Sus scrofa: one gene and its partner. The protein of the gene in region 2 purifies or fractionates together with the protein of the main gene of each other region. This does not show direct contact. Links are inferred from orthologs where the notes say so. Each region holds a gene or a part of one and is shown on either strand. Other genes may lie near its edges.

Region 1 (3,749 bases), on a different chromosome or scaffold from region 2:
ATCCAGGGACTGTGGGTTCTAGAACCCCCTGAATAAGCCCACAGTTCAATGCTAAGAACCTGGCTCTAATGCCTTCTAAGGGCTGTTTCTCTGTTGCCCCCTTTGGCGATTTCAGAAGGCTTGGTCACCCTTTAGAGTCCTTGAGAACTAGAGTATGGAACTTCAAGGTTCAAGGCATGAATTATGGTACTTAAGGTCTCTAGGTAGTGAGGCATCAACAGGTGTCTTCATCACAAGAGAATTACCATACCATCAGCCTTGAAAAGCAGCCTTTAATTTCTCACTGTTTCTCTTTCCATGTCACTATTTTTCTTAGACACACGAGCAAACATTGAAACTACGGTTTGGGGCAGTTCCCGTCTTAGCTCAGCGGAAACGAATCTGACTAGCATCCATGAGGACATAGGTTCGATCCCTGGCCTCGCTCATTGGGTTAAGGATCCTGAGTTGCCATGAGCTGTGGTGTAGGTCTCGGTCAACGGTTCAGATCTGGCCTTTCTGCGTTGCTGTGGCTTAGGCCAGCAGCTACAGCTCTGATTCCACCTCTAGCCTGGGAACCTCCATATGTGTCAGATGTGGCCCTAAAAAGAAAAAAAGAAAAGAAACTACGGTTTTTATCTGACATCAAGAGAGCCTTAATCTTCTCAAGGGATCATACTATGTTATAATCTGAATAAAGGGATTAATGATATATTTTGCTAAATCAGTCAAAGATAAAATAAAAGGCAGACTTGCAGAAGAGGACCTATTCAGGTTTCTGAATAATGCCACTGCATCCAATAATGTTTATTAAATTTCAGTTACATAACTGCATACTTAATGGAAAGTTTGTTTAGATTATATTAGGTGTAGATTCACTTGCTTTTTAAAAATTTACTCCTTAGTCACTGTTTTGGCTCATCCCAAACTAAAAGAGAAGGAAATGTTTTGCTATGTGTTCTTGGAAAACTGGGAGAAAGGTCACACTTATTGAGTACCTACTATTTGCACAGCATCTTACTAAGCACTTCAGTATATTATCCCTTTTAGTAACCAGGACCAAGCTTGAGCCATGGGGGTTATTATACCCATTTTAGTAACAAAGACTTTGAGATTTAGAGAAATTATGACACACTTAAGGTAACAAAACTAGTGTCTGAAAGAGAATTTGAACTCTAGTCTCTCTGGCTCTAATTCCCCTTTTACTTTAAGCCATGTTGCTGTACTTTAATATCTAAGAGGGAAATGTAAATGAAGTAACCTATGTCACTTTTATCATTTTATTATGAAAATATGGAGTTGCTGTTGTGGCTCAGTGGGTTAAGAACCCTACACCGTGTCCATGAGGATGCAGGTTCTATCTCTGGCCTCGGATGTAACCAAGCAGCCATGTAGGTCACATCTGGTGTGGCTGTGGCTATGGTGTACGTAGCCTGGCAGCTGCAGCTCAGATTTGACCCCTAGCTTGGGAACCTCCCTCCATATGTTGCAGGTATGGCCATAAAAAGAAAGATACATAGATATAGATATAGATATAAATTTTTTTGAAGGTAGAGTGGTAAGAGGCAGTTTTAGGACTTCTGTGTTTCATTTTGTTGTGTTTTGTTGGCCCCACTCTCAGCGTGCAGAAGTTCCCAGGCCAGGGATCAAACATGCGCCACAGCTGTAACCAGGGCCATTGCAGTGGCAACACTGATCCTTAACCCACTGAGCCATAGGGGAACTCCTGGAACTTCTCTGTTTTTACATCTCTCACTATAGGATACTTGCCATCCATTTGGCACCCAAAAAAACAATTCTAGGGGGAAGGATGGAGTGGGAGTGTAGGGTTAGCAGATGTAAGCTCTTATGTATAGAAGGGATAAAGAATAAGGTTCTACTGTATAGCACAGGAAACTATATTCAATATCTTATGGTAAACCATAATGGAAAAGAATATTTTAAAAAGAATGTATACATACATATACATATATATCTGAATCACTTCGCTGTACAGAAGAATTTAACACAGCATTGTAAATCAACTGTACTTCAATTAAAAAAAAATCCTCTTGTTTTAAGAGTTCATGATGTCATAGGTCTTTTGAATGTTCCCAAGAATGTTATAAGAATGATGCTCTAATTTTGTCATTGCAAGGGGATCCTGACTGAATGTATCACTCTGAACTATTTCACAAGCAGTCTTTCCCTGCATGTTAAATGATTTCTTTTTGCCAAAAATATGTGTTCCCAGATATTTATGGAATATTCTGACATTTGAATGCCCCCAGGTCTGTGTGGGCTGGCTGCTCTAGGGACAGATTAATAGACGAAGGAAAATTTTGAAAGTGTTTATACAGTTTTGAGGAATGAGGTGGTAGGATCTGTACATTTTTGTTCTTTTCATACCAGATCCCTCACATTTTTCTTTGATGATGTCAAGAAATAAAAATTTTCCTTCCTCAAGAACAAGTACTCATTTTTGTGGTTTTTTACAAAATTGACTTTTACAAACACAATACTATGTTTCACTCTACACACATCTCTGGAAAATGTTAGTTCACACATTAAAAATAGGATGCTAGGAGTTCCCGTTGTGGTGCAATGGAATGAATCTGACTAGGAACCATGAGGTTGCAGGTTCAATCCCTGGCCTTGTTCAGTGGGTTAAGAATCTGGCATTGCCATGAGCTGTGGTGTAGGTTGCAGAGACAGCTCAGATCCCGCATTGCTGTGGCTCTGGCGTAGGCTGGCAGTTGTAGCTCTGATTTGACCTCTAACCTGGGAACTTCCATGTGCCTCAGGTGTGGCCCTAAAAAGCAAAAAAAAAAAAAAAAAAAAAAAAAAAATTCTGGTTAACTCCTTAACAAGACTATAGAAACCTAGCAAAACAATAATCTCTATGTATATTTGCTTTAAGTTCTTTTCAAAGATTCTTTTTCACCTTGATTTACTATTTTTTAAAAATTTTTTTTGGGGGGGCGATAGTTATAGACTCACAGGAAGTTAAAAAATATTACAGAAAGGTCCTATGTACTCTTTACCCAGTTTACCCCATTGGTAGCATCTTACATACCTAAAATACATTTTAAGAAATTGACATCTTGCTATCTTTCAATTTTTAGTTTCCTTTTATGTTTCATTATATTAAAATTTACCATTTTTCAACAATTCATTTCTATTATATCTGGCTCTTCTCCCTTTCTAAATCAGCACATGGCAAGATCAGTAAACTTGCCAGGGTGCTTGTATGGAATAATAGATTTACTAAAAACTTCTATGGGTCAACACACTTAAAAGTGATTCATTTGCAAGATTTTTGCTTTTTTTGGCTCATACTATTCCATGCCATCCTTCCCTAATAAACCTGTAAATTTATACAACCTGTATATGTGTGTGTTTTCATACATCTTCTGACCACTGAAATGTCCTCAAAGAGATTGCTATTAAAAAAGAATGAAGGGCGTTCCGTTCCCGTTGAGGCACAGCGGAAATGAATCTGACTAGTATTCGTTAGGGCGAGCAGGGTCGACCCTGGCCTCTCTTAGTGGCTCAGGGATCCGGTGTTGCCGTTGCCATGAGCTGTGTCATGGAGATCACAGACTACATTGCTGTGATCCCGCATTGCTGTGGCTGTGGTGTAGACCAGCAGCTGCAGCTCTGATTCGACCCCTAGCCTGGGAATTTCCATGTGCTGTGGGTGCAGCCCTTAAAAAGAGTGCAAAGCTCCTCATTGAATTGGAAAAAAAAAAAGTTTCTAATCATCTTAGCTATTCAAATGAGAATACCAT
Region 2 (3,649 bases):
GCAGGCCTTCTTGTCGAGCGTGGCCTCCCCGCCGATCCAGTAGTAGATGGCCCAGCTCAGAGACCCGCTGTCGTCCAGGAAGGTCTGGAGGCCAGGGCGCAGCCGGGTCAGCGGGCGCCGGCCTTCGGGCTCCAGGCTCCCTCGCCCGCCCGATGGCCTGCCCGCCGGCCCGCTGGCCCACTGGCTTGGCCGATCCCTCCCCTCCCACCGCCCCGAGGACACCGCCGGGAGCGGTGATGGCGGGCGCCCCGCAGCCGCACCTTGAGCACGATGTAGCAGTCGGCCTCGTAGAACTTGCCGTGGAGGGCTTCTTCCACCAGCACGGGCACGAAGTTCTCGATCTGCCAGATAGTCAGGCCGGGCAGCTGGCCCACGTCCTCCGTGAAGAACTCGGAGTAGTCGAGGCGCGGCTTCTCCAGGCCCTGGTCCCAGCGCCGCACCTTGGCCCCGGGCGCCCGGGCATCCGCGCCCTCCTGGGCTCGCAGGCACAGAGAGAGCGGGCTTGACGGGGGAGCCCCTCGGGCTGGCCCCCCGCGGCCCGGCTCAGGGCCTTTGCGCCGCTGCTCCTGCCCGGGCGCCCGCTCACCTCCTGCTTCCTGTTCTTCTCCTGGGCCACGTCCGACATGCCCTTCAGCACCTGCTTGGCCTGGTCGTCCTGCGCCGAGTCCTTGCGCCGCCGCAGCCGCATCTTGCGGGCCAGGGGGTCCTTGGGCCCACTCCCTGCTGAAGGGCGGGGCAGACGGCTGAACCTGGCTGGGCCCGGCCCCGGGGCCCCCAGCCGCACGCGGAGGGACGGGGGACCCCATGCCCCCGCCCGGGCCACCCTGCCCGAGGCACAGGTCGGGGCTGAGGCCCAGAGAGGAGCCGCCCCCTCCCCGGGCTCACCCGCCGCTGCCGCAGCCACTGTGGCAGGGGAGGCGCCTGCCAGCCGCAGCTGGTTTTGCAGCGAGAAGTCGATGTTGTACCACTCGGCGGCGCGGTCGGCGGGCTTGGGTGGCATGACCAGGCTGGGGTTCTCCCGCACGTCCAGGACCTGCCTCGTGGGGCGAGCGGAGTGGGTGCTGAGCCCGAGTCCTTCCTCCCGGCCACGGCAGCCCCGTTTCTTGCTCTTTGCAGCCACCAGGGCCACGGGGCTCAGCTCTCAGCCGGCTCCGCGGCGGCCCTCCCGGGTGCAGGCTTCCCCGGCTGGCAAGGGCGACCTCGCGGGCAGCTCGCGAGGTAGGTGATGCTGCCGAGCGTGATGTGAACACAGGATGTGGCCCCCTCCCTGGCACTGCCACCCCTCGGGAGCCTCTGTGGCCGCCCCCAGGACGCCGCTCCTGTCTCTCCTGCGGGTCTGCCCCCCCCCCACCCAGGGGCGGCCCCCCGCCCGACCTCGATCTCCGTCAGGAAGTGGACGGCCTCGGGGAGCGTCACCAGCCGGTTCTTGTTCAGGACGAGCTTCCTCAGCTTCGTGCACCTGGGAGGACGCGGCTCGGTGACCAGGAGGTTCTGTGACGCCCACAGGGCAGCCCTGTCCCGAGGGGCCTTCTGAGGACCCAAGGCCGGGGATACGCACGAGAGGGTGTCGGAAACACACCCACCCTCGTGTCGGCTTGGCAGCTGCCAGGGACCAAGCTGGTGGACACTGGGAGCTCCAGGATGGGAGGTGGCACCGTGTCCCAAATGCTGGGGGCGCTCTGGCCTTGTGCCTACCGGGGTGCCCTCAAGGGGTGCTTCGGGGAACCCAATCTGGGGGGTCCTAGCTGGGACCCTGGGGTTTCCGTGCTGCTCCCCCGCCCGGCCTCGCCCCAGCACCTGCACAGGCTTTCGGGGATCAGCTCCAGGTTGTTGTTGGCGGCCATAAACTCCTCCAGGCTGGCCAGCTTGCCGATGCCCGAGGGCAGCCCGTCGAAGTCCAGCTTGTTGGAGTTCAGGTACAACCTCTTGAGCTTGGTCAGCTTGCAGATGGCCGACTGCAGAGGGCGCAGGCAGGGGCCGGGTCAGGGGCGGGAGCGGCAGCCCGCGGGCCCCCACCCCCCCGCCGGTCCCTGACGCACGGGCAGTGAGGTCAGCTGGTTGCGGGACAGGTTCAGGGTCTCCACGTGCACCCACTGATCGATGCACAGGGACAGCTCCGTGATCTGGTTGCTGCTGAGGTTGAGGCGGCGCAGGCTGGGGAGGGTGTACAGGCACTCGGGCACCCGCGTCAGGTCGTTGCAGGACAGATCCACATCTGGGGTGCAGGGCGGGGAGCATCAGCCGGGCCCGGGCAGTGGGCTCGCCCTCCGACCTCCACGCTCTGGGGCCTCGGGCACGTGACTTAAGCCCTCTGACCCTCAGGGTCTCACAGCAGGCTTCGTCTGTGTAGCCCAGTACCACTAGGGGTCCCGAGAGCGACCGGGGGCTGGGGGGACACAGGCACACCCTCTTCCCTCTGGAGGCGCTCAGAGAAGCAGGCGGCTCCCTTCCTCTGTAAAGAAGAGGGGCCGAGAAGGTCCCCCAGGGACGGCCAACCTGCGAGATTGCTCAGGCCCTCCAGGCTGGTGGGCAGGTTGCTCTGGGTGCGCTGCGTGTTCCGCAGGTGCAGGGTCTGCAGGGCCGTCAGGGCCGGGAGCTGCCTGCGGGGAGACCGGGCGTCAGGCCAGGGCCGGGACAGAGTGGGCCTGAGGGATGAGGCCAAGGGCGGCCCCGGGCCGGGACGCCTAGGAAGGAGGCTCGGCGGGGAGGCCGGGCGGGCGCCCACCGGAGCTGGGCGTGCAGCAGCGGGTTGCCGTTGAGCACAAGCGTCTGCAGGTGCACCAGGCGTCGCATCTGGGGGGGCAGGCTCTCCAGGCGGTTCTCGCCGAGGTCCAGGTACAGCAGGTCCGTCAGGTTGATGAAGAGCTGGTTGGGGATGCTCTCAATGCTGCGGGCGGGAGGGCTGCTGGGTCAGGGCCACACGCCCGCCTCCGGGACCGCCGCCCCGTCCCCAGCCCTGCCCGCCCGCCCCGCACCTGTTGTGGCTGAGGTTCAGCACCAGCATGTTCTTGGCATTCTCCAGCTCCCGCGGGCACTCCGTCAGCTGGTTGTAGCTCAGGTCCTGGGTCGGGGTGAGGCTGGGTCAGGGGTGTCAGGGCTGGCCCCACCCGCCAGGCCTCTGCCAGCTCGAGGACCAGGATGGGCACCAAGAGGGGAGCAGGGAGGGGGTTTCAGGGCCAAAGGGAGGCCCTGGGAGGAAGGGGCCCGGGGGAGCCAACTGGCTCCCCAAGGGACCTTGGGCAAGGCAGTGCCTGCTCTAAGTCTCGAGTTCGTCCATCACAAAGAGGATGCGAGTGGCCCCCAGAACCACAGTGGCAGATGGGGACTGAATGGCAGGCTGGCAACAAGAGCCCGGTGGTGGGTAACCACTGACCAGGACTGAGAGATCATCCAGCTTGAAGATGTCGTCAGGGACTCCAGAATTCTTCAGGCTGTTGGCTCGAGCCACGATGGCCTGGGGATAAACCATGAGAGTCCATGCTTCCTGGCTGCCACCCTCAGGAGAAGCAGAGACCACAGAGGGACAGCTTCTCAGGAGCCCCTGGAGGCCAGGCCTGAGGGCTGGCCCAGGCTGGCCTTTGCTCTCACTCCCAGGCTTGGCGAGCCCTTCCTAGCCTACGAATAAGCTCCTATTCACACCTCAAAACCC

What was found.
Region 1: the proteins of FLII (region 2) and LRRFIP2 purify together in Homo sapiens (affinity purification with mass spectrometry; 3 studies listed by BioGRID and IntAct, with this or other methods). This does not show direct contact. The link is inferred for Sus scrofa from reciprocal best matches to the Homo sapiens genes FLII and LRRFIP2.

What each region holds. Positions count from the first base shown.
Region 1 is NC_010455.5:21,665,914-21,669,662, reverse strand, and holds the start of LRRFIP2 (leucine-rich repeat flightless-interacting protein 2), read right to left. Parts: upstream 2,768-3,749; 5' UTR 1-2,767. UniProt on the Homo sapiens protein: May function as activator of the canonical Wnt signaling pathway, in association with DVL3, upstream of CTNNB1/beta-catenin.
Region 2 is NC_010454.4:60,478,688-60,482,336, reverse strand, and holds part of FLII (protein flightless-1 homolog), read right to left. Parts: intron 3,455-3,649; coding exon 3,374-3,454; intron 3,062-3,373; coding exon 2,976-3,061; intron 2,888-2,975; coding exon 2,726-2,887; intron 2,601-2,725; coding exon 2,497-2,600; intron 2,216-2,496; coding exon 2,040-2,215; intron 1,956-2,039; coding exon 1,798-1,955; intron 1,460-1,797; coding exon 1,375-1,459; intron 1,034-1,374; coding exon 886-1,033; intron 724-885; coding exon 587-723; intron 474-586; coding exon 261-473; intron 85-260; coding exon 1-84. UniProt on the Homo sapiens protein: Is a regulator of actin polymerization, required for proper myofibril organization and regulation of the length of sarcomeric thin filaments. It also plays a role in the assembly of cardiomyocyte cell adhesion complexes.